3 linked regions of the Diceros bicornis minor genome follow. The main gene of each other region encodes a partner of the protein of the gene in region 3 in a complex. Links are inferred from orthologs where the notes say so. Each region holds a gene or a part of one and is shown on either strand. Other genes may lie near its edges.

The links.
Region 1: MYO7B (region 3) and CDHR5 share a complex: the UniProt entries of both Homo sapiens proteins name them as parts of the IMAC/intermicrovillar adhesion complex. The link is inferred for Diceros bicornis minor from reciprocal best matches to the Homo sapiens genes MYO7B and CDHR5.
Region 2: MYO7B (region 3) and CDHR2 share a complex: the UniProt entries of both Homo sapiens proteins name them as parts of the IMAC/intermicrovillar adhesion complex. The link is inferred for Diceros bicornis minor from reciprocal best matches to the Homo sapiens genes MYO7B and CDHR2.

What each region holds. Positions count from the first base shown.
Region 1 is NC_080770.1:1,357,519-1,365,412, reverse strand, and holds the start of CDHR5 (cadherin-related family member 5), read right to left. Parts: upstream 3,013-7,894; 5' UTR 2,836-3,012; coding exon 2,778-2,835; intron 2,696-2,777; coding exon 2,520-2,695; intron 2,116-2,519; coding exon 2,065-2,115; intron 749-2,064; coding exon 656-748; intron 504-655; coding exon 402-503; intron 297-401; coding exon 186-296; intron 81-185; coding exon 1-80. UniProt on the Homo sapiens protein: Intermicrovillar adhesion molecule that forms, via its extracellular domain, calcium-dependent heterophilic complexes with CDHR2 on adjacent microvilli. Thereby, controls the packing of microvilli at the apical membrane of epithelial cells.
Region 2 is NC_080740.1:89,800,781-89,807,919, forward strand, and holds the start of CDHR2 (cadherin-related family member 2), read left to right. Parts: upstream 1-4,127; 5' UTR 4,128-4,262; coding exon 4,263-4,391; intron 4,392-6,623; exon of another isoform or gene 6,624-6,726; intron 6,727-7,139. UniProt on the Homo sapiens protein: Intermicrovillar adhesion molecule that forms, via its extracellular domain, calcium-dependent heterophilic complexes with CDHR5 on adjacent microvilli. Thereby, controls the packing of microvilli at the apical membrane of epithelial cells.
Region 3 is NC_080749.1:5,374,382-5,381,265, reverse strand, and holds the start of MYO7B (unconventional myosin-VIIb), read left to right. Parts: upstream 1-3,882; coding exon 3,883-4,032; intron 4,033-6,884. UniProt on the Homo sapiens protein: Myosins are actin-based motor molecules with ATPase activity. Their highly divergent tails are presumed to bind to membranous compartments, which would be moved relative to actin filaments.

The sequences.
Region 1 (7,894 bases), on a different chromosome or scaffold from region 3:
CGCAGATCGATGGGCTCCACCTCCAGGACCAGGGTGGCCGTGGCCGTGTGGCTGGGTGTCACGTTCTCTTCCCGTGTATCCTACAACAGCCAAGACCCTCGGATCAGGTCTGGGAGCCTGGGGGTGGCGGCAGCTCGGATGGGGACCCGCGCGTCCAGGACTCGGGGTGGGTGTGGCCTGCTCACCCGCACCAGCAGCCGGAAGGTCATGTTCGGCCACCTGTCAAGGTCCAGTGTCCGGTCCAGCTGCAGGGCAGGGAGGTTCACTCCCACCAAGGAGAAGAAGACACTGGCACCCTGAGGAGGTGGGGAGGCCTCAGCCTGAGACTCTGGGGGCTGCAGAGAGGCAGGGGCGCCCAAGGTGGAGGGGTCTGAGTTGGGGCAGGGATTGGGGGCACTGACCGGGGTCACTTCCTCGAGGGTGTAAAACAAGATGTCATTTTTGTCCAGGTCCTCGGCCTGCAGTTCCGTCTCTGGGATGACGGTAGTGTTCACTTTAGCGTTCTGGGGGACAGGGGGGTTGGTCTGGCCACACTCCTCACCCCCATGGCCAACACATCCGGCCACTAGCCCTCTGCCGTCTGGCCCCTCACCCCAGCTCCCGATGGCCCAGTGCCAGCCCAGATGCCACGGCCCCTGGCTTCCTTCACACTCACCTCGGGTACCCTCTCCACCCTGACCACAAAGGGGAACGTGGGTGCATTGTCATTGACGTCCAGCACAGACACGAACACCCTCAGCTGGGTCACCTGGGGGGACGGGAGGTGGTCAGCCTCCTCACCTGGTGCCCACCCCAGCCGCCCTGGCTCACCCTGGGTGCTAGAGTGCCCGGGGGCTCCTGCTCAGGAGGGGTTACAGACAACGAACAAGAAGGAATTTGTAAAGCACAGAAGGTGGTGAGTGCCCTGGAGAAAATAACTCAGCTCCTGGGGACACAACCAGCAAAATCCCAGACGCGGAAAACGGCAAAACCATCCAATTTCTTCAAACGTAGATCTCAAAGGAAAAAGGAGAGAGAAAGGGGACCAGCAGACGGAAAAAGACTTAAGAGAAACTCAAGCAGCCGCATCAGGCGGACCCTGCTTGGATCTTGGTTCAAACAAGCATCAGTCAAGACCCGTCTGCGACCTGGGGGCAGGATTCAGACGCTGGAGGTCACGCGATGCCCGCCGTCCCAGTTTCCTCAGTGTCACAGCAGTGTCCTGATGATGTTTCAGAGGAAGGGTCCTTATCTTTCAGAGAGTCATCCTGAGACATTTGTGGGTGGCGTGCTGTGATGTGGGGGTGGGGGCGCCCACGGGGCTCGCTGCTGAGCAGGCAGGTGCGTGGGGCAGGCGGTCAGGGTGCCTCTCCGAGGAGGGCATGGGCGAGTGAGGACCGGAGATGGTGAGAGAGGGAGGCAGGTGCGCATCTGGGAGAGGGCACAAGGCCGCCGAAGCTGGGCGTTGGGTCCCTGCGCCCGGCCTTGCCCACCCCGGCAGTGCATTTGGCTTTGACCCGGAGTGAGAAAGCAGCCATGAGAGGAAGTCCTGGGCAGGACGTGCGGCTTGCTTTACTGGATCTTCTTCTGCCATATGGAGAGTGGATTGGGGTAGGCGGAGCCAAGAGGGGAGCAGGTGAACTAGTTGGAAGGTTCCAGAAAGGAGATGCTGGTGGCCAAGGCCCAAGTGGGGCATGGAGGTGGGGAGGGTCTAGCTTGAGGCAGATCCAACAGATTTGCTGATAGAGGGACGTGGCGGGGGGGAGGTGAGGACCTAGCCCTCAGGGTGGGGCATCTCCACCGTGCGGGACCTCGGGTTGGGGGCCTCTATTGGGGGTATGATGTTGGCTGGGCTGGGTTTGAGGGTCTGGGGCTCAGGGCAGAGTCTGGGCTGGAGGAACTGTGGGTGTCACCAGCACAGGGTGACACTTGACAATACACCACTGGGTGAGGTCACCAGGGAGTGACCCTGGACCGGGCAGAGCAGAGGGCAGAGGTCCAAGCCCAGAGCGTTCTGACGTCACAGGGTAAGAGTATGACGTGGGGGGATGCCCAGGAGGTCGGGGGTGTGGGGGCAGGACTCACCACGGTGTCACCCCTTTTGCACTCCAGGAGTGCCTGCAGCAGTGAGTTCTCCTGTGGGGGTGGGCAGGTGTCAGGAATCACCTGCCTGGCTGGCCACAGCACAGCGTCCCCACTTCACAGGTGAGGAGACTGAGGCCGAGGGGGCAGGTGCTCGCCCAGGGTCCCCATCATCCATGCTAAGCCCAGAGGGAGCTGGGGGCCGAGGCAGCTTTGTCACCCCAGGGCCCCGCCCCCCTCAGGCCAGCCCTCTGCCAAGCCTTGGGGCCCCGGAGGGGTCAGTCAGTCCCTGCCTGAGGGGCGCAGAGCCCTCAGGACCCCTGGGCAAACTGACACCCAAAGGCCCCCAGAGAGCCCTTCTCCGGGAGGGAGGGTGGGTGTCCACTTGGGTCCCGTGGGGGGTCAGCCGCCCCAGCCACCCCCACGGGCATGCCCCACGGGGGGCCTGCCAGCCACACCTCATAATCAGGAGTCACGTTGAGAAACAGCTGGGTCCCTTGGATCCGAAATGCGAAGAGGGTGGACGAGGATCCGAGGGTCACCTGCTGGTCGTCGGGGACGTAGATATCCACCAGGGGCTCGGTGACATTCGTGTTCTCCTTGACTTCAAAGAAGGTCTGGTTCACAGAGCAGACTAGAAAGTTGGAGAGGAAGGGTCGGTACCGCCCAGCCCCATGCCTGCCCCCCAGCCCCACCCGCCACGGCCCTGAAGGTACCCTGGGCCTGGGCTGTGCCCACGAGCAGCAGTGGCAGCAGCAGGGCCCAAGCCCCCATCTCGGCGGCCGACAGCCGCAGGAGGGTCTGTGCTGGTTCGGTGTCCAGGACCCTCTGGGCAGCCGGCCGCCGCTGGCGCAGTCCCTGCCTGGGCGACCTTCGCCCCTGCCAGGCACCGCCCCACTTTATGATCCTTTACGACCGACTGGCCTCCACCAAGGGGGCTCCCGCCGGCCGCAGGCCAGGCCTAGCCCACTGGCAGGAGGGGGCCGCCTGGTGGTTCCCCGGGCCGGAGCTGGGCTCAACCCACAGACACCAAGACAAGAGACAGAAAGGAGCTCAGAGAGAGCCGCTGGGGCACCGAGGGGCTGGGGGAGGGAGCTGGGGAGCTGGAGGGGCTGGGGGAGGGCCCAGGGCTGGGAGGGGGCTGGGGAGGGGCAGGGGCTGGGGGAGGATGGGGGTTGGGGGAGGGGCTGGGGAGGGGGCAGGCTGGGGGAGGGGTGGGGGCTGGGCCCTGGCTCCTGTGTTTGCTGTGCCTCCCCTCGGCCCCAGCTGCCCCTCTGCTGGGCTGTTCTGCCAGAGTCATCTTGGGGCACGTTCAGACCCCGTGTTCCCATCCAGCTCACCTCCTCTCCCCGCACCCACCATCTAGGTCTGGAAAGAAAAGGTTGTTTGTGTCCTGGGGATACCCCTGCCTGTCCCGGAAACAAGCCGGATTCCTCCTGGTGGGGCTGGGCAGGGCCACAGTGATGGAGGTGGCAGTGTTTCAGGGGACACCTGGGGCTCCCGGGTCCCCGCGGGCTCTGGTGCCTGACAGAGAGGGACCCCAATGAGGCTCGTTGGCCCAGGCCCGCAACTGCCCTACCTCATCTTTCCTTGGCCTGCCAAATCCCAGCAGCTGGAGAGAGGCCACTGGGAGGGGTCAGGAGGGAGGGAAGGGGCTGCCATGATGGGGGGGCCTTCCCGCCTGTTTGCATCGAGGCTCTAAGGGCCTGAAACACCTTCCCGAAGCTCCTGGTATCCAACTGCCCCTGCTGGCAGTGCCTCCACGGCCTCCTGCACACCCAGCACCTCTAGGGGTGTCATCATCGTCCCTGCCCCACAGGCTCAGAGTGGTCAAGCCGCTCGTCTGAGACCACACGGCCTGGACAGGGAGCCAAGACACACACTAGAGTCCTCTCACTCAGAGTGGCCTCCTGGGGGACACCCCTCCACCCCCCTGCCATCTCTTCCTGCCTGCCCTGAGCTTACTTGCCCCCTCCAACTCCCCCCCCACCTGCTGCACACACTGACCACCTGGCCCCGGGGGCAGGAGCTGGGAGACGTCCTGAGTCCCCCCACAGAGCCCCTGAATGTCAGTGAGTGGATGACAGGGGTGCAGGTGGGCCCTGGGGAGCTCAGTGGATGGGACAGGAGGTGGCGCTGATGTCAGAGGTAGGACACGGGAGGGTGAGGCGCCCCACTGGTTTCCCAGGTTTAAAGGGCAGCGGGCGTGGCTGCAGTCCCAGAATCCGAGGATGGGGCCCTCCTCCCCCGACAGCCCTGCACCACAGAGGCTGCCTGACGGTACCCAAAGCACACAGAGTGGGGTCACAGGCCAGGGTCCGAATTCCTCCTTTATTGGTGCCAAATGCAATCCCCCCGGCCCCCCACCCCTCCCGGTCCAGGCTCCGCTCCCCTTGTGCGTGGAGACAGGCTCCTTGGTCCTCAGGGCCTCATCCAGTCCTCTCAGCAGCAGGGATGCCCGGCTCTGAAACCATGACCCCAGGTCTCCATCCAGGAGGCAGCTAAGGAGACCTGGCCTGAGCCAGGGGGGCACTCGGGGGCATCCTGCAGAGACAGCCCGGTTAGAGGCTGGGGACTTGAAGCTGGAGACTGTGCCCACCTGCTGAAGCTGGGCCTCCTTTGGTCACCCACCCTGACTCAGCCTCACCTCCCCCGGCCCCTGGCCCCTGCTGTGTCCACTTCCTGCTGTTGGCCCAGGGTGCCCCAGGCCCCAGAGGGAGGGTCTAGGGGGGTACCCTCCGGAGGGGGCAGGGGGCTAGTGGTGCTCACCAGGCCTGCAGGGTGGGCGTGTCCGGCCGGCCGGGGCAGGCAGAGGCGGCCCTCGGCCGAAGTGTTCCAGGTGGTGGTGTTCTCTGGGTCATGCTCGCTGCCCCCACCCCAAATCAGAGTTAGTCCGGGAGTTGGGGGGTTGGGAGCGGCGCCGCGTGCCGGGCCGTCCCACCTGAGCGCCCCCCACCAAAGGTCTCCGCGCTCACCTGCGCTTGCCCACCAGGCCCTGGAGCAGCCGCTGCAGACGCGCGCTCTCCCGCAGGCGGCTCAGCTCGCTCGTGAACATCCCATCCGAGTGTCGCCGGGCCCTGGGGAGGGGGATGGCGGGCCGCGCGGGCAGGATCAGGGCCAGGCCAGGGATGGGGCGCGGACGCGGGGTCGGGCCGAGGTGGGCCGGGGGGGCGGGCGTGGGCCCCGGGGCCGCGGGCTCACCTGCGGGGCGCGGGGAGCGCGGCGGAGCCCCCGAGTAGCAGCGGCGGCAGCAGCAGCAGCAGCAGCAGGGCCCGGGGGACCATGGTGGGCGCGGGGTGCTGAGCGCTGCTGCCGCGGCCGAGCCCCGCGGCCCCTTTATAGCGGCGCCCCAGGGCGGAGGGTGCCGGGGGCGCTCAGCACCGCCCCGGCTCCGCGCAGCCCCGGCCGCGCCCCATCGATCGCGCGGAAGGTCAGGGCCGCCCCCCCAGCTGTCGCCCCGGCTGGCCGCCCGCCCCCTCCGCCGCGGCGGCGCCCCTCAGCGGGCTGGGGGGCTCGGCCGGGCGGGCCTGCGCGGGTCGGGGGGCCCCGGGAGGGAGGAGGGACACCCGGCGGAGGAACAGCGCGTGCAAAGCCTCGGAGCCTCGACCGCGCGCGCTTTGGAGGCACGAGCAGAGCCTGCGGGGGACGCCGTTGGGGGCTGGCCAGCTCTGCAAGGGGGGGCGGCAGAGGGGCCGAGCGCACCGGAGGAGGGCTCCGGAGGGTCGGGGGCGACGACCGAAGGCTCCCAGGGGCCGCGAGGGTCGAGGCTGGGACGAAGGAGGAGGCGCCCGGTGGCGCGGAAGCCCCTGGAGAGGCCCCGGCGGGCGGCGCGGAAGCGGAGGCCGGGCTGCGGGTGAGGCGGTGGGCGCGGAGGTGGGCAGGGGAGTAGGAGGTGTAGATGCGGCGGGAGGAGGGAAAATGGGGAGGCTGCTGGGTTCCTCCTGCGTGATCAATGCGGGGTTAGGTCAAGTTAGGGTTTTTAGAAACTGTACTCATGAAGTCCTTAATCATAAATTATAAATCCAGTAAATGAAGTGGTAAACTCATGGTTCTTGTGTTACACTTTATATGCATTTTTGTGTGTGTGAGGAAGATCAGCCCTGAACTAACATTCGGTGCCAATCCTCCTCTTTTTGCCGAGGAAGATTTGCCCTGGGCTAACATCCGTGGCAATCTTCCTCTGCTTTATATGGGACGCCACCACAGCATGGCTTGACAAGCGGTGCGTTAGGTCCGTGCCCAGGATCCGGGCCTGCGAACCCCGGGCCGGCCAGGCGGAGTGGGTGCGCTTAACTGCTGCCCCACAAGGCTGGTCCCTTTACATGTATTTTTAAAAAACACACATGCGCCGCGCCTCCCCATTCCTAACATCTTGCATTATCATGGGACATTTGTTACAGTTGGTGAACCAATATTGACACATTATTATTAACTAAATCCACAATCTACATCAGGGTTCACCCTCAGTGTTGTCCATTCCACGGATTTGGACAAATGCATAAGGACACTTTCCACCACACAGAGCAGTTTCACTGCCCTGAAGACCCCCTGCTCCTCTGGTTCATCTCTCCCTCCATCTCTCTCTCCGCCAGCCCCTGATCCTTCTACCGTCTCTGTGGTTTTCTCTTTTCCAGAACGTCGCGTAGTTGCAATCATACAGTAGTGGCCTTTTCAGACTGGCTTCTTTCGCTTAGTAAGGTGCATTTGTTTCCTCCACGTCTTTTCATGGCTTGATAGTTCATTTCTCCTCCTCACTGAATAATACTGCATCATCTGGATGTCCGCAGTTTGTTTATCCATTCATAGACTGAAGAACATCTTGGTTGCTTCCAGGTTTGGGCAAGTATGAATAAAGCTGCTGTAAACATCCATGTGCAGGTCTTAGTGTAGACATAAGTTTTCAGCTCCTTTGGTAAATACCAAGGAGTATGATTGCTGAATAGCATGGAAAGTAGGTCTAGTTTGGTAAGAAACCGCCAAACTGTCTTCCAAAGTGGCTGCACCATTTTGCTTTCCCGCCGGCTGTGAATGAGCGTTCCTGTTGCTCTGTGTCCTCGCAGCCTTTGGTGATGTCAGTGTTCTGGATTTTGGCCATTCTAATAGGTGTGTAAGGGTATCTCAGAGTTGTTTTCTTTATATGTATTTTTAAACAGCTGCTATGGCCTGTTCTTGCACAAACTTGGCGGATTAAAATCCCCTAAACTTTAACACTATTGACCAATTAAGCATTGGAGCATATTCCAAACTCCAAGTACTCACTTAACTGGTGGGATTTCTTAGCGCATCAGACACTTAAGTAACCAGGCAGATCTCCATAAGAAAAATCTTCCTATTTAAAAAAAAAAAAAAATTAACATGCAGTAAAATTGACTTCTTAAAAATTAACATACAGTGAAATTAACATACAGTAAAAAATGAATTTTGACACATGGATAGATTCGTGTAGCAATCACCACAATCAGGGTACAGAAAGACTCCATCACCCCAAAGAACTCCCTCCTGCTGCCCCTTTGTGGTCACAGGCACGGCCCTGAGCGCCTTCGGTCAAGCTTCGTGAGGTCACAAGCAGTCACTAGCACAGAGGGACAGACCCAGGGTGAGGCCAGTTCTGAGTGAAAGAAGTGGGTGGTGCTGAGGCCAAGGAGGGGCGGGCTGTGTCCTGCAGGTTCCTGTCACAGAGGATTTTGTAACTGCCTTCATCTTGTCCGAAACGGCTGTCACCCATTGTCTCTGCTGCTCGGAATTTCTCCCGAGACAGCCCCTGGCCTTGTCCTCACACGCCCATTCCATGGCTGCCTCAAGCATGCAGCGGTCATGCTGCAGTGCCGACAGG
Region 2 (7,139 bases), on a different chromosome or scaffold from region 3:
AAGGCAGCTTGTACTCTGCAAAGCCATTGCAACGTGGAGGAATGATGAAAAGTTGAGGAGGGACTGGACACATTCACAGCAAAGACCCCCCCCTCAGCCCGGGCTCCCCAGGTCACCTCTGGAGCCACACACTGGTGGGGGGAGGGGAGGTCTCCAGATTGCAGAAGTGGCAGCTCCGAGACGAGTGACTTGCCTGATGTTACACAGCTAGTCAGAGGAAACTGAGGACTTGGTTTCAGCTTGATCAATGTCTGGGCATGTGGTGGTGCACACAGTAGGTTGCTAGCAAAGACAGGCAATGAGAACTTTTTCTGATCAAAATTTTTAAAAACCACACGCCTAACACAGTGGCTCTGAATCACTTCCTCATGTGCACATCTCTCTATCCCTTGCCCTGTGCTAAGGGCTTTACTGCATCACCTCCCTGTGTCAATGTCTATAACAAATCTGTGAGTCGGGTTTTGCTGTTATGCCCATTTTATAGATGAGGACATTGAGGCTCAGGGAGATGAGCTACCTTGTCCAAGGCCCCCATCTAGTAAGTGGTGGGGAAGAGATTAGAACTCAGGTCATCTAAGTTCACATCCTGGCCTCTTAGCCCCACTTTCTGCCTGGCAACCCGCTGCTCGCTGAGGCTGACCCCAGGCCTGGCCTGTTACTCAGACCTGGATCATCACAGCCCAGAGCCCAGTGACCTGCTCAGGCTGCCTTGTGGTAGGTAGACAGGTGCCCCTTGAGATGGGCAGGGCACCATCTGGTCACACATGGCTCGTCCAGATGCTGTCCAAAGGTCTGGGCAGGCCAGCACACGCCCTCCGGGGGCCAGAACAGTGACTCAGAGCTGTTGGCCCCAGCAGTCAGAGCAGGGACAGAGAGGAGGGCTGGGCAGAGAGACCAGGCTGGTTCCCTGGGTTTGGGGCAGACCTGGAGCCTGGAGCCTCGGGCAGAGTCGCCTGCTTCTCCTCCTACAGTTAGTCCACCAGCAGTTCCCCCACGCCACTGCAAAAACTAGCACGCGCTGAGACTTGACTCTGTGTCGGGCCCTGTGCTCGAGACTTGAAACGCATGACTTCATTTCATTCTCACCACCACCTTCTGAGTAGGTTTCATCCATTATCCCCAATTTACAGATGAGGAAACAGGCTGAGAGAGGTTCTGTAACTTGCTCCACCACAATTGAACTCAGCTCCTGACCCCTGAGCCCTGTCTCTCAACGACTACATCGTAATAGTTATGTCAAGTGCCGTCCACCTCCTGCAGCATCCTCTCCCTGGAGACACACAGGAGAAAACTCCTCTCAGGTATCAGAACTCAGAATTGCACCATGGCTCCCAGATCCTGGCTCTCTCTCTGTATGTGTGTGTGTGCTTGTATATATACCTTTTTAAATGGATGGGTGCTGGATGCTAGACTTAATGGATCCTGTTTCTCTCTTTGCCTCACCTGCTAGGAAACTCAGAATCTAATTCATGGCCCACCTCTGACAATTACCTAGAATTTCAAGGCAAATATTTAAATATTTTATGGACTTTATTCCGATCTAAATTCTCCTCGTTTTTCTCATTTGTTTTCCCTTAATCCAGGTTCCTTTTGAGCTTGTTGTAGCATATATTTTTTGCAATTTTTTTTATTGTGGTAAAGTATACATAACATAAAATTTACTAACAACCATTTCCAAGTGTGCAGTTTAGAGGTATTAAGTACATTCATAATATTGTGCAACCATCACCACCATCCATCTCCAGAACTCATTTCATCTTGTAAAACTGAAACTCTGTGCCCATTAAACCACAACTCCCCATCCCACCTCCCGCAGCCCCTGGCAACCGCCATTCTACTTTCTGTCTCTGTGATTTCGACTGCTCTAAATACCTTATGTAAGTGGAATCATACAGGATTTGTCCTTTGTGTCTGGCTTATTTCACTCAGCATAATGTCCTCAAGGTTCATGCGTGTCGTAGCGTGTGTCAAAATGATCTTTCTTTTTAAGGCTAACATTCCATTGTATGTATATGCCACATTTTATTTGTCCATCCATCTGTCAATAGACTCGGGTTGCTTCTATGTTGTAGCTACTGTGAATAACGCTTCTACGAACATAGGTGTACACACAACATATATATTTTGATAATCTGTTTTAAATTGGGGAGGTTGGGGAACAAACTTCTCTGTTAAAGGGCCTGGCCTTTGTAACCACTCGATGTATATCTACTGAGTGTGAGTCTGGAGAGGCCGCTCAGGGTTATGATAGGACTGTGGGCACGTGCCCTGGGAAAGCTATGGATTCGCTGCCCTGGGAGCCTGGACAAGTGGCAGGGTGGGGGTGGGGGGTTCTATGCTACGTGCCAGGAATGGTATCTGAATTATCTGGTTTTATCCTCACAAGAATCCCACAAAGTAAATAATATTATTTTCTCCAAGTTGTGAATGTGGATGTCTGATATTATGCTACAGGGAGAGGTGGGGACTTCAAGAAGCTTAACAGCTAGGAGATGGCCCAGCCAAGTTCAAACTGCAGCCTGTTTACCTCAACTCTGTCTGTGCCCCTTCCTTAGCATGTGGGTTTGGTGGTGTAGGGATGGGGGACTTCCCATCTTGAGGCAGATTGTAGTCAGGACAGACCAATTCAACCAGGCCTAGCAGAAAAAGGAATGTATTGATTTAATAACTGAAGAGTCTGGTGGTGGAGGTTTTCAGGCATGGCTACATCCAGAGGCTCACACAAAGTGATGAGGAATCTGTTTGTCTGCATTTCTTAGCTCTGCTTAACTCAGTCTTAGATTCTTTCTCAGTAGACTTTACCATTATGGTAGTAATTAGACAGCTGTTGGAAGTCACTTTCTTACAGTTTAGATGTCCCAGTGGGGAGGAAAATGTTCTCCTTCTCAACAGTCCCAACAAAAGTCCTTGATTTGAGTCCTCTTGGTTCTTATTGCCCCAGCTTTGGTCACATGCCCAAACCTGAACCAGGAGCTGTGTGTGTCTGTGTAGGGGGGTGCTGTGCTCTGACTGGCCAGGCCTTATCACATGCCCCCCACGGGGTGAGGGGAGGGTGGGTGAAGAGGTTCCCCAAAGGAAAATTGGGTGTTGTTACCAAGGGGAGCCGAGAGAGCTACTGGGCGCTGGCACAGGAAAGGCGTCCTGGAGTGAGAGGGGAAGTGTGGAGGAGGCCCCCTAGCCTGGCCGAGGAGAAATGGGGAGGGCTGAGCGAGCGAGGGGAGCACACTTCCCCCTTCACCGGCCTGGGTGCTGTGCTTGGAGTTGGTTCCTGGCTCAGCTGGCCATGTGCTCTCTGGGGAACGTGTGTGTGGGCCCCTCCCGCTCAGAGCCCCAGGTTCCCGCTCTGCAGAGTGGGCGTGGTTATAACAGTACCTCCTCTCCCAGGTGATGTCAGGCATCAGGGAGACCATGATGTCAAGCGTACAGTAGGTGCTCAATAAAGGCCAATTCCAACTCCTCTTGGGAGGCACCAGGACATCCTCCCCCAGGACTTCCTTGGAGCTGAGAGCGTATTTGCATCTCATGATCTCTTTCTGCTGCCCCTGGCCTTACTGAGTGCCCGTCCTGGGCTGGGTGTCTTCCCATCCACCCACACAGGACTCGCTGCCCCATGGTGCAGACACAAGCAGCGTGGTTCCGAGAGGGGCAGTAACTTCCCCAGGACACCCAGCCAGAAGAACTTGAGGCCCCCTTTCTCCTTGTCAAGATGGGGATGTTGGGGCCTGTGTGGTTGGAGGAGGAGTTGGGGGCTTGGACCCTGCTGGGAGGCCACGGGCACCCCGCTGGTCTTGAAAGCCAGCCTGCAGGTGGATGAGGCCCCAGGGAGGGGCAGGCACCTCTGAGGGCCTCAGCAGAGGGGAGTGAGGCAGCGCTAGGTGGGGGCTGCGGATCCAAGGTCAAGTTCACCGCACTCCTGGGGGGATAACTCACGTTGGATTGTGATGCTCTTTTACTAGTTCCCTCCCCTGACCTAACCCCTCTCACCTTCTCCACGGGTCCCCTGTCACTGAGGACTCTTGTAGTGGGGAGGGAACTGTCGACTGTCACCCTTCCCGCCCCTGCCTGCCCCAGCTGCTGGGCCTGGTTCCCGGGTCCCCCGGGCTCGGGCTCTCCTAGGCCCTTTCTCCAGTGGCCTGGCCTCCAGTCCCGGGAGCACTGTTGCCCGTCACCTTGATCCTGCCCTCCTGCCCCCTCCCCGGCTGTGATCAGCACTTGCTGAGGACTTGTCCCCATCCCGGGAGGTGCGGTCCCTGGCAGGGTTAATGATTGCTCAGAGGAGGCGGAGATGGTGCCAAAGTCTGCTGGCGGCGCCACTGCAGGCCCAGACGGTGCCCACCTCTGCCTGCTGCCAGGGTCCATCCGCCACCTCCGTGGCCCCTGCCGGGGCACAGGTAGGGGCTGCACAGCTCGGCTGTGGTGGGGATGTGGGGCCTCCTGGCCAGGGGTAGGAACAGAGTGGGGTCGTTGGGGCCAGGGCGAGCTTTGGGGGTCCACCCAGCTGGGTGGGAGTGCTGGGCAGAGAAAGCGGGCACTGGCGCTGGGTTGGGGGAACCTGGAGCTGAGGCCCAGCCGGGCTGCAAGGCCTCAGGTTCTTCCGTGGGGCTAATAATGCCTATACCCAGGGTTCTGATGGCTCCTCTCCCTTCCAAGTCCTTGGGTAATTTGGACCTACTGACGGTTCTTCACAGGATGGAGGGGAGGCAGGTCCCCCAGGGAAATGAGTTAACCCTCCTAGGCCCCTTTCACAGAGGCTTGAGGGAGTGAAGACAGAGTGGCTGAGCTGGGGGGCCCCAGAGCTTGAGGAGAAAGAACTGGGCTCCGAACCAACTGCTTGAGTTCAGATCCCAGCTCCATCCTGACTTTGGGTGGGCTCTGTAAGTCTTCGGGCCTCAGTTTCCTCATCTGTGGAATGGGACAGTAGTAGTGCAGGAAAGAAGCTGGAGAAGGCCTGGAGCAGAGTTGGGCCTGTGGTCGGTGATGGACTCCGGTGCCACCTCAGCCCCCACTAGGAAGGGTCCGGCTGCGACTAACCACAGCCTGGCCCTCAGCTCTGGCTCATTCCCAGGCCCTGACACATCTCTTTGCCCTGGTGTTCCAGGTGGAGACTCAGCTGAGAGCCAGGGCCAGGCCTGGGCCTCTTCCCTGAGCAGGACTGTGGGATTGGGGCACCAGGCACAAAGCGGGGCTCAGGGAACATTGGGATCCCACTGATGGAAACAGGACATGACCCATGTGTGGACTTTATGGTTCTTATCCTCACTCCATTTCTCAGCAGGGAAACTGAGGCCCAGAGAGGGTAAGGGCTTGCTTGGGGTGGCACAGCAAGTAAGTGAAAGGCTGGAATCTGAACCAGGGCCATTTGACTTCATATCTGTCTGCCGCCAAAGCAGCCTGAGGGACAGGTGCTGGAGGGGCTCCATGCAGGAAGCCCATGCCCTTGGGGTCCACATCCTTGCACCAGGGCACCCTGGTTGGGCTGGTGTCTGACCTGTGGGTGCTGGTACGGCTCCCATGGAGTCAAGCGGAGCCCAGAGCAAGGCTTGCTCACGGACTCCTGGATGTGGAGCCAGTCTGGGTCCAATGCTCTGCACCTTGCTCTTGGGCATCCCTCTCTGAGCATCTCTGAGCTTCGTTTCTCACCTGAACCCAGGAGTGGTGATTCCTACAGCTGGGGAACAGCTGTGAGAAATAAACAAGAAAGCGGAAGTGAAAGCATGTGGTGAGCTGGAGGTGGTGGTGGCTGAGCCCGCCCGCTGGGGGCCAATGGATGAGGAGGTCCACCTCCCTCTCTGGTCCTCCTGGACGCCCTGGGCAGGCCTGAGGTCCCCACTCCCAGTGGCTCCAAGCCCTAGGAAGTCTTGGAGCCATGGGCTGTTGAGAGCTGTGGCTGATGCCTCCTCCCACTGAGGGTGAGGAGCTGGCGCTTCCCGGCCCGGGATGGGTGTGTCCCTTCCAAGCCAGAAGGGACTCCCATGGGAGTGTTTCATGGGGTAGGGGTCCAGAAGCCACCCTGTTTCTCCTCTGTGTCCTTTTTGACCCTTCCCCCAGCACTGTTTGAGAGTAGGGAAAGAGAGCGGGTGGGTGGAGGTAGAGGGAGGTTGAGTAGGGGTTGGGGGAAAGGAAGCTGTAATCTCTAGAATGTTGATAATCCCATTTTTTAGAAGGCAAACTGAGAGGCAGAGAGGAGGAAAGAAGAAACCCTGGGTCTGGCTGTGCGGTGACTGGGGCCTGGAGTGAGACCATGCGTCCTTCACTCCCAAGCCATGGCCGCCTGGCACAGCGGAGGCCTGGGGAGTGGCCTGGCCTGGAGTCCCCACCCATGGGCAACTCCATTCACATCTTATTCATTTGCACCTAGTCTGTCCCCCTGCCCCTGCTGGGTACTAGGAGCTTAGGGGCCACCAATGCCGGAAGGTGGCTCCGCACCTGACCTGACCTTAGAGGATGGAGAGAATTTGCATATACGCAGGAGGCAAGGGAAGGCGTTCTGGGCAGAGGTGACAGCAGATGCAAATGCTGGGAGGAAGAAAAACATCGGGTGTGTACAAGAGCAGCAGCACGCAATGCCCTTGGGTTGTGGGAGGGGGAAGGAGGCCAGCTTGAGTGGGAAGAGAGACGTGTACCTGTGAGGACCTGGCCTGCCAAGCTGAGGGGCAGGAAGTGTGTCCTGCAGCCAGTGGGAGCCAAGGCGGAGGTTTGAGCTTGGGAGTGGCTGTGCCCAGTGAGGTGAGAAGGCTCACTGATGGGGCAGGGTCATCCTGGCGGCTTCCCCCACTCCCTTAGGCTCTGTACATTTTTCTCAGGTGACTGAATCAGGAGGATGATGCTCTGGGCTGTAGAACTTTGACCGCATTATGATCAAATGAGCGTGTGTTTGTAAAAGTCACTGTGACAGGGAGGAGGGAAGATTGCGTGAAACCCAGGCTGAGGCAGTGCAGGAGGGAAGAGAGGCAGGACCCAGCAATAAAGAGCACTGGACAGGGAGTCTGAGGGGTGGGTCCTGGCTCCACCCTGACTGGCTTGGGATGGTGGGCAGGAGCCTTAGCTTCCCTGGGACTCAGGCATAAAGGGGGCTGCGGAGCCATCGCTTCCTTCCGGGGAGATGGTGAGGACCAGATGCAGGGGAGGGACTTTGTGTG
Region 3 (6,884 bases):
TGATATGATATGATACAGTGCCTACATGATGAGATGCAGGAGGGTGAATGGCATCAGCACTGTGGCATAGCGTTAGGCTACTACTGACCTTCTGACGATCCATGAGAAGGAAGATCATCTGCTACCGACTGCAGTAGACGGAGGGTAACTGAAACTGTGAAAGCAAAACCACAGATCAGGGGGACTACTGTACCTGCTGTGCATAACTGAGTTCCCAGGGAAGCATTTAAGCCCTGCTTCTTCCCAGATGTTCCTCTGCCCTCACACTTTGGAGACCATGGAAATGAAAGAGGAAAGGTCCTTCAGACCCTGGGCAAGCACGTTGGGGAAGCCCCTTTTCCGAAACTCTCTAAAAATAGGATGCCTCATCCACCTTTGGGGTTGGGGAGGAGGAAACCAGGTTTGTTTTAGGGTTGGTGTGGTGTAACGCGGTGCAATGAGCACTGGCCTTGGAGTCAGGTAGACCTCCATTCAAATCCAGCGCCCACCACTTGCAGCCCTATGACCTAAGCGAGTTTCTTAACTTCATCGGTGTTACCTTCTTTACGGTGAAATGAGGATAGGCACCCCTAATTTGTAGAGTTTGATGAGAGTTGAATGACATGACACGTGCAAAGAGCCCAGCACCGAGAAAGCACTCACTAAATGCTAGTTCTCTTTGAGACTGAGAATTCCAAAATTCTCCACAGAGCAGCTCAGTCACAGAGATCTACGCCGACAGCTGTGCTGTTTTATAGTGTTAATGGATAACGTGGCTACTGTATGTTACATGGGAAGATTAGGGCCCTCAGGAAACCAGCAACCTCAGGCGGCTCTATGACGTGTTTGTAGAGCTGAAATGAAATGCTCCCTCTGCTCTATTTTAGTTGCTATGGCGACACTACCATGGTCTTGATCATTGGATGGGAATAGCGTGAAACATAGGTTGTCCCTTGGAGGCATTTTGGCTCAGCTCAGAAACATACTTTTAAAGGTTAGCAGAGGGCCGGCCTGGTGGCGCAAGCGGTTAAGTGCGCGTGCTCCGCTGCGGCAGCCAGGGGTTCGCTGGTTCGGATCCCGGGCGTGCACCGACGCACTGCTTGGCAAGCCATGCTGTGGCGGCGTCCCATAAAAAAAAAAATAAAAAATAAAGTGGAGGAAGATGGGCACGGATGTTAGCCCAGGGCCAGTCTTCCTCAGCAAAAAGAGGAGGATTGGCAGATGTTAGCTCAGGGCTCATCTCCTCACACACACAAAAAATAATAAAAAATAAAATAAAATAAAGGTTAGCAGAATATTTGCATCTTGAGGAGAATTGTGGAAGTAGCATTAGGCTGCGGGAGAGCCAAGTTTGATCACAGGTGTGACAGGGAAGAGCCTGCCCTGACTGGCCCCCACCCGTTGTCTTGATTTCCAGGGCTTGGGGAACACCTGAGGCTCCAGGAGAGCTGTCCTTCGGGGGAGCCCCCTCTGGGCCTGGCCAACTCACACAGCAGTCAAGCTAGGTCCTTGCAGTTATATGCATACCCTTTGCTAGGAGGGAGGACTTGATGTGCCACTTGAGAGAGGTTAGCAACGAAACATTCATGCCCCTGGTTTCCATAAGTTCCTGGAATCTTCCTGTAATGACAATGCAAACAAAACTGTGAGCACAAATTCGTTCCTTGCAAGGTTGTAGATGAGAGCAAAGGATTGGATGCCTCCTGATGTCCGTCTAGGGAGGATGGTTACACAAATGATGGCGCACTTGTAGGATGGACTACAGTGCTGTCTCTAAAGACATGGTTCAAATTTGGTCCAGTGTAAGAAAATGCTTGTGATATGTAAATGTAAATGTAAAAAAAATGTGGGAAATAAGTGTAGTAGGTATCCAAAATGTGTTTCTACCAAATTTTGTTTAAGACAGGCTCTGGATAGAGATATCTTATAAATGGTTTTGTTCTACACGGATATTCTGTTCCACTATTTTTTTGCACGAGAGCAGTGGAAGAGGACTGTAGGGGACCCAGCCTGGTGATGGGAGTCCCAGAGTGAGGGGCTCGCCATGTCTGGGAGCTGCCAGGAGCAGTACTGCCAATTCTATAGGAGTGAAATGGTCTCTTTCTAACCAGAGAAGCCACGTGCTGTGTGAAACCCCCACAAAACAAGTGTTGGCCCAGTAATTGGATGGATTTTAGGGGATGGGAGGCTAGTTGGAACCAGGGGCAAAACTTAAGTACCATATTCAAGGGGAGCAGGTGGGGAACTGGTTGAAAGGCTTAGAGCACGCTTTCCTCCAAATGGCCCTTCATTAAGTATCTCCCAACTCACTTCCCTTCCTCTGTCATGGGCTAGTTGGTTGTCAGAAACAGACACTCTTTAGCACAATACCCTCAAGGTCCATCCACATTGCTGCAAATGGCATGGTTTTGTTTTTTCTTATGACTGAGTAGTATTCCATTGTGTATGTATACCACATCTTCTTTATCCATTCATCTGTTGATGGGCACTTAGGTTGCTTCCAAAACTTGGCTGTTGTGAATAATGCTATACGAACATAGGGGTGCACATATCTTTTCAAATTAGTGTTTTCATGTTCTTTGGATAAATACCCAGAAGTGGAATAGCTGGATCATATGGTAGTTCTATTTTTAATTTTTTGAGGAATCTCCATACTCTTTTCCATAGTGGCTGCACCAGTTTGCGCTGTCACCAGCAGTGTATGAGGGTTCCCTTTTCTCCACATCCTCTCCAACACTTCTTATTTCTTGTCTTGTTAATTATAGCCATTCCGACAGGCGTGAGGTGATATCTCACTGTAGTTTTGATTTGCATTTCCCTAATAATTAGTGATGTTGAACATCTTTTCATGTGCCTGTTGATCATCTGTATATCTTCTTTGGAAAAATGCCTGAGCGAAATAAGTCAGACAGAGAAAGACCAATACCTTATGATTTCACGCATATGTGGAAAATAAACAAACACATAGATAAGGAGAACAGAGTGGTGGTTACCAGAGGGGAAGACGGGAGGAGTAAATGGGGTAAAGGGGCACATGTGTATGGTGATGGGTAAACACTAGGCTATTGGTGGTGAACAGCACACCATCTATACAGAAGCTGAAATATAATGATGTACACCTGAAATTTACACAGTGTTATAAGCCAATATGACCTCAATAAAATAATTGAAAAAAAAAAAAAGCAACAGAAAGTCCTTCAAGCTGCCTCAGAGTAAGGAGCATGCAGCAGAAGGAAACTGCGGACAACAGGGAGCCCCACAGGAAGCACAGGAAGCCCTCAGGCAGCAGGGGCCTCTGCCTCTCTCTGGGGCCAACCCCACCCCTGCAGCCCTTCTACTTTACCCTTCTCTCTCCCACCAGCCCCTGGTTCCTGTCCCCCAAGGAGGCCTGAGGTCAGGGTTGCCGCCCTGCTGTGGCGTTAACTCTGTGTGAAAAGTGATAGCCAGGGCCACACCTCTGCCTGCAGTTCCCAAGTCCTGGGAGATGGAAGGAACCTGAGTGGGTCCCGACTGTCAGGACCACGGAGGCCTCTCTTCCCCCAAGGAAGGGGCTGCAGCTGCACGGGTGTCTCCAGTGCACTCATTTTCCACCCCATTCAAAGCCCTCACCCTGACGCTCACCTCCAGGCACTGCCTGTCCCCTCCAATCTGGCCTCTCCCAGGACACACTTCAGATGCCCTTTCTCTTCAGGAGGGTCTGTATTTGCCTCATAGTTAAAATCCCCCTTCATTCGAGTCCCAGCCCAAGTCAGCCCCTCTGCTCCCACGGACCCTACCGGGAATCTACTTGCCCCGACAGCCTTTAGCTCTGTTATAAAGCTTCCTGGCATCTCCTGTGTGTGCCCCCAATTAGGATGGGGGAGTTGGAAGCAGAGCTCCTGTGTGGGCTTCCTTGGAGTCCCCATGACACCTGAGAAGATGCTGAGCTCCCTGGACGATCAGCTGATCGTCACCACGGGATTTGGCTGGTGGCCAGCAACAGGTGTGTGGACTGCAGACTCTGATGGCCTGTGGGGACTCTGCGAGGAGGCCAGGGTTAAAGATCAGACCGTTGTGAGGTTCCGCTTGCTGGGGCTGCAGGAGCCGTGTGGGAGTGGATGTGCCTGGAGCCCAGGGACAAAGTCCTGTAATAAATTACGTGGCCTTGAGTGCTCAGCCATTTCCTTGTGGGGCCCTTCCACCTCTTCCTCCTCTCCCTCACTCTCCCGCAGGCCCAGAGCCCTGGCACTGCCTCCTTTCCCTGCTCTTTCAGAGCGCCTAGGGTGGAGGGAAAGGGAGTTGGCAAGACCCCCATCCTGACAAGGTAAGGGAACGCTGGGGGGCTTCTCTGTCTGCCGGATGCACTGGGCCTGCATTCTGCCAGCTGGGAGGACAGGAGGGAGGAGTCACCTCTTGGGAGGAGGGTTGCTGGGCAGGAGGTGGGTTGGGAGGCATAGACCTGGGGAAACACTGCAAGGCTCATCTGGAAACAAGGACAGGCCTGTGAAGTAGAGAGTGGGGGATTCCCTTCAGGAGCCCGGAAATCAGAAACCCCAGCCCAGAGATTCTTCCCATCATGCTGCAGGGCCAACCTGGGGGCTGAGGAGGAGGTGGAGGAGAAGCTGTCCCGGCCCTCTGCCATGGGAAGGCAGACTCTCTGGCAGAGGGGCATGGCAGGTCCGGGGCTGCCCCGTGCCCGGCAGCCTTCTCATAGCGGGAGGGTCTGGCCGCGGAATCACGAGGCATGAAGGTTAGCCTAGGTGCCGAGCACTGGGCACCTAGCCGACGTTAGCAGTGCCATATGTGCCATCTCACTGTGTCCTCACAGCATGCTAGTGTTATTGCCTCCATCTCATGGACAAGGAGACTGGGGACCACGGAAGCTGAGATGCCCACAGGAAGAAGCAGAGCCCGGGCTTATCTGACTCACCCACACACTTTCCTGGACAGTTGTGTTAGTCGCCTCTGAAAGACCTGGGCCCCCAGGGTGAGGCACGACCCTGCCTCTCTGGCCTCACAGCCTCCTCTGGGTGAGGGTGTTGAGTCGTTGGGGGAACGGGGTGACTGAGGGGAGGGACTCCACTGTGGGCTCCCAGGGGTTGCCTCCTTTGAGCTGTCAGCATGTGGTCATCCATCCCCGCTTCACAGAGGAGGAAATTTGAGACACAGACATTGAAGGGTCTGGCAGCTGGCAGGTGTGGGGCCCCATCCTCAATCCCCTAAATTGGGTGTGTTTGCTCCCCACGACCAGGCCTGCCCCTCAGTCTCCACTCCGTAACTCTGGACTTGAATTTTGTTCTAACCCATAAAACCCCTGAACTCTGTTCAGGATTTTAGTTCAAAGAAAACCAAAACTGCATGCAGCTCCCTGGGCCTGGAAAATATCCCCCGAGGAATCTTTGTTAAGAACCACCCAGCTCAACAGCGCTTCTCGTAGGAAGCCATCCCCATGTCCCTGGACCCGTGAGCGCCCTGCTGTCTGGCCCTCGGGTACCCCCTCCCAGAGGCCCTATCCTTGTGTGTCTGTCTTGGTTCCTGCTGACTGGCAGTGGGGGGGCAGTGGGGGGTGTGTGTGTGTGTGTGTAATTCTGAGGAGAGGTGACACTGCAGGGACGAACACTTCCCAGTTACCCGGATGCATAACTTTATGATTTTCATGTCTTCTGAAGGCTCTTGCTCCCACATTCTCCCTCAGTCCACACCACAAGCCTTTCAGGGAGGAAGAGCAGGAATTGTAGTACCTTTCTCACAAAAGAGGACATTGAGATGAAAGAGGGTAAATGCTTTGCCCAAGGCCACTGGATATGAGCACCTTGAGGGCACAGGCTGGATCTCCTCAGGATTTCTCTGTCCCCTGCACCCTCCCCGGGTGTGGCAGAGAATGGGCATGGGTGAGGACAGCACCAGGTGGCTGCAAGAGGACACTTAAGTCCAGTCTGAAAGAGTGGGCCTGAGATGAGGCTGGAAAGCCAGGCACTTACCCTCACCTGCAGGGACCCATCAGGCCCCTGAACCCAGGTGCATGTGTCAGGTGGGAGAGGGGAAGGGGTAAATCCAGTTTATTTGCTCCTCGTAGGACCGGCAACAGTGCTGAATTCCCCACAACCACATTGCCCCCCTGGAGGGGGAACAGAGCCCTGCTCTGGGAGGGAGATTCTCCTAGCAGCGCTTTTTCACCAGGGCCACCTGCCACCACAGACTTCCCCAGGAGGGGCTAGGAGCCAGGCTCTGAGGGAGCAAGGCCTCTCAGCTCCACATTGTCACACACCGAAAGGTTTTTGGCAGTGGGGGTGGCCAGGCCCTGTGCCCGCTGGGGGATGATGGGATGGAGGATTATGGCTCCACATCCTCACCCTGGGCTTACCTGGGAAGAAGAGAAAGGATCCCTGGTGAGGACCCAAGAACATCGCGTCTCTGGGCCAGGAGCACCTCTCAGAGACGTATACCTCCTGGGCTGCCAGTCACATGGTATTCACGGGAATGGCACCCTGTGGCCATCACCCCGTATGCCAGGCAGTCCTGTGTGGGGTGGGACTCCCTTTCAATGGAGGGTGTGTCCTTCTGCAGGCCCTCTGGGCCCTGGGCTGCGGAGATGGGCTGAGCCGTCCCCGGCTGGGTCAGTGCACAGAGGGGCTCAGAACCTGTCCCCTTTCCCTGGAGTGCACTGCCCAATTCCACACCATGGACAGCTCCCACCTCCATGCAACCACTGCTCCCATGGGCTCCTCCCGTTCCTCCCCGCACTGGAGCCCGGTGGCTGATCTTTGCAGACGGTCATCACTGTGGGGAGAGGGGGGATTTCAGGCACCCGGACACTCCTGTGGACAGTAATATAAATAATACAAGCAATCTGTAGCTATGGAAAAGCCAAACGTGACAGAAAGGAGCAAAATGTGAAGGAAAATTCTCCTTCCGCCTCTCTCCAC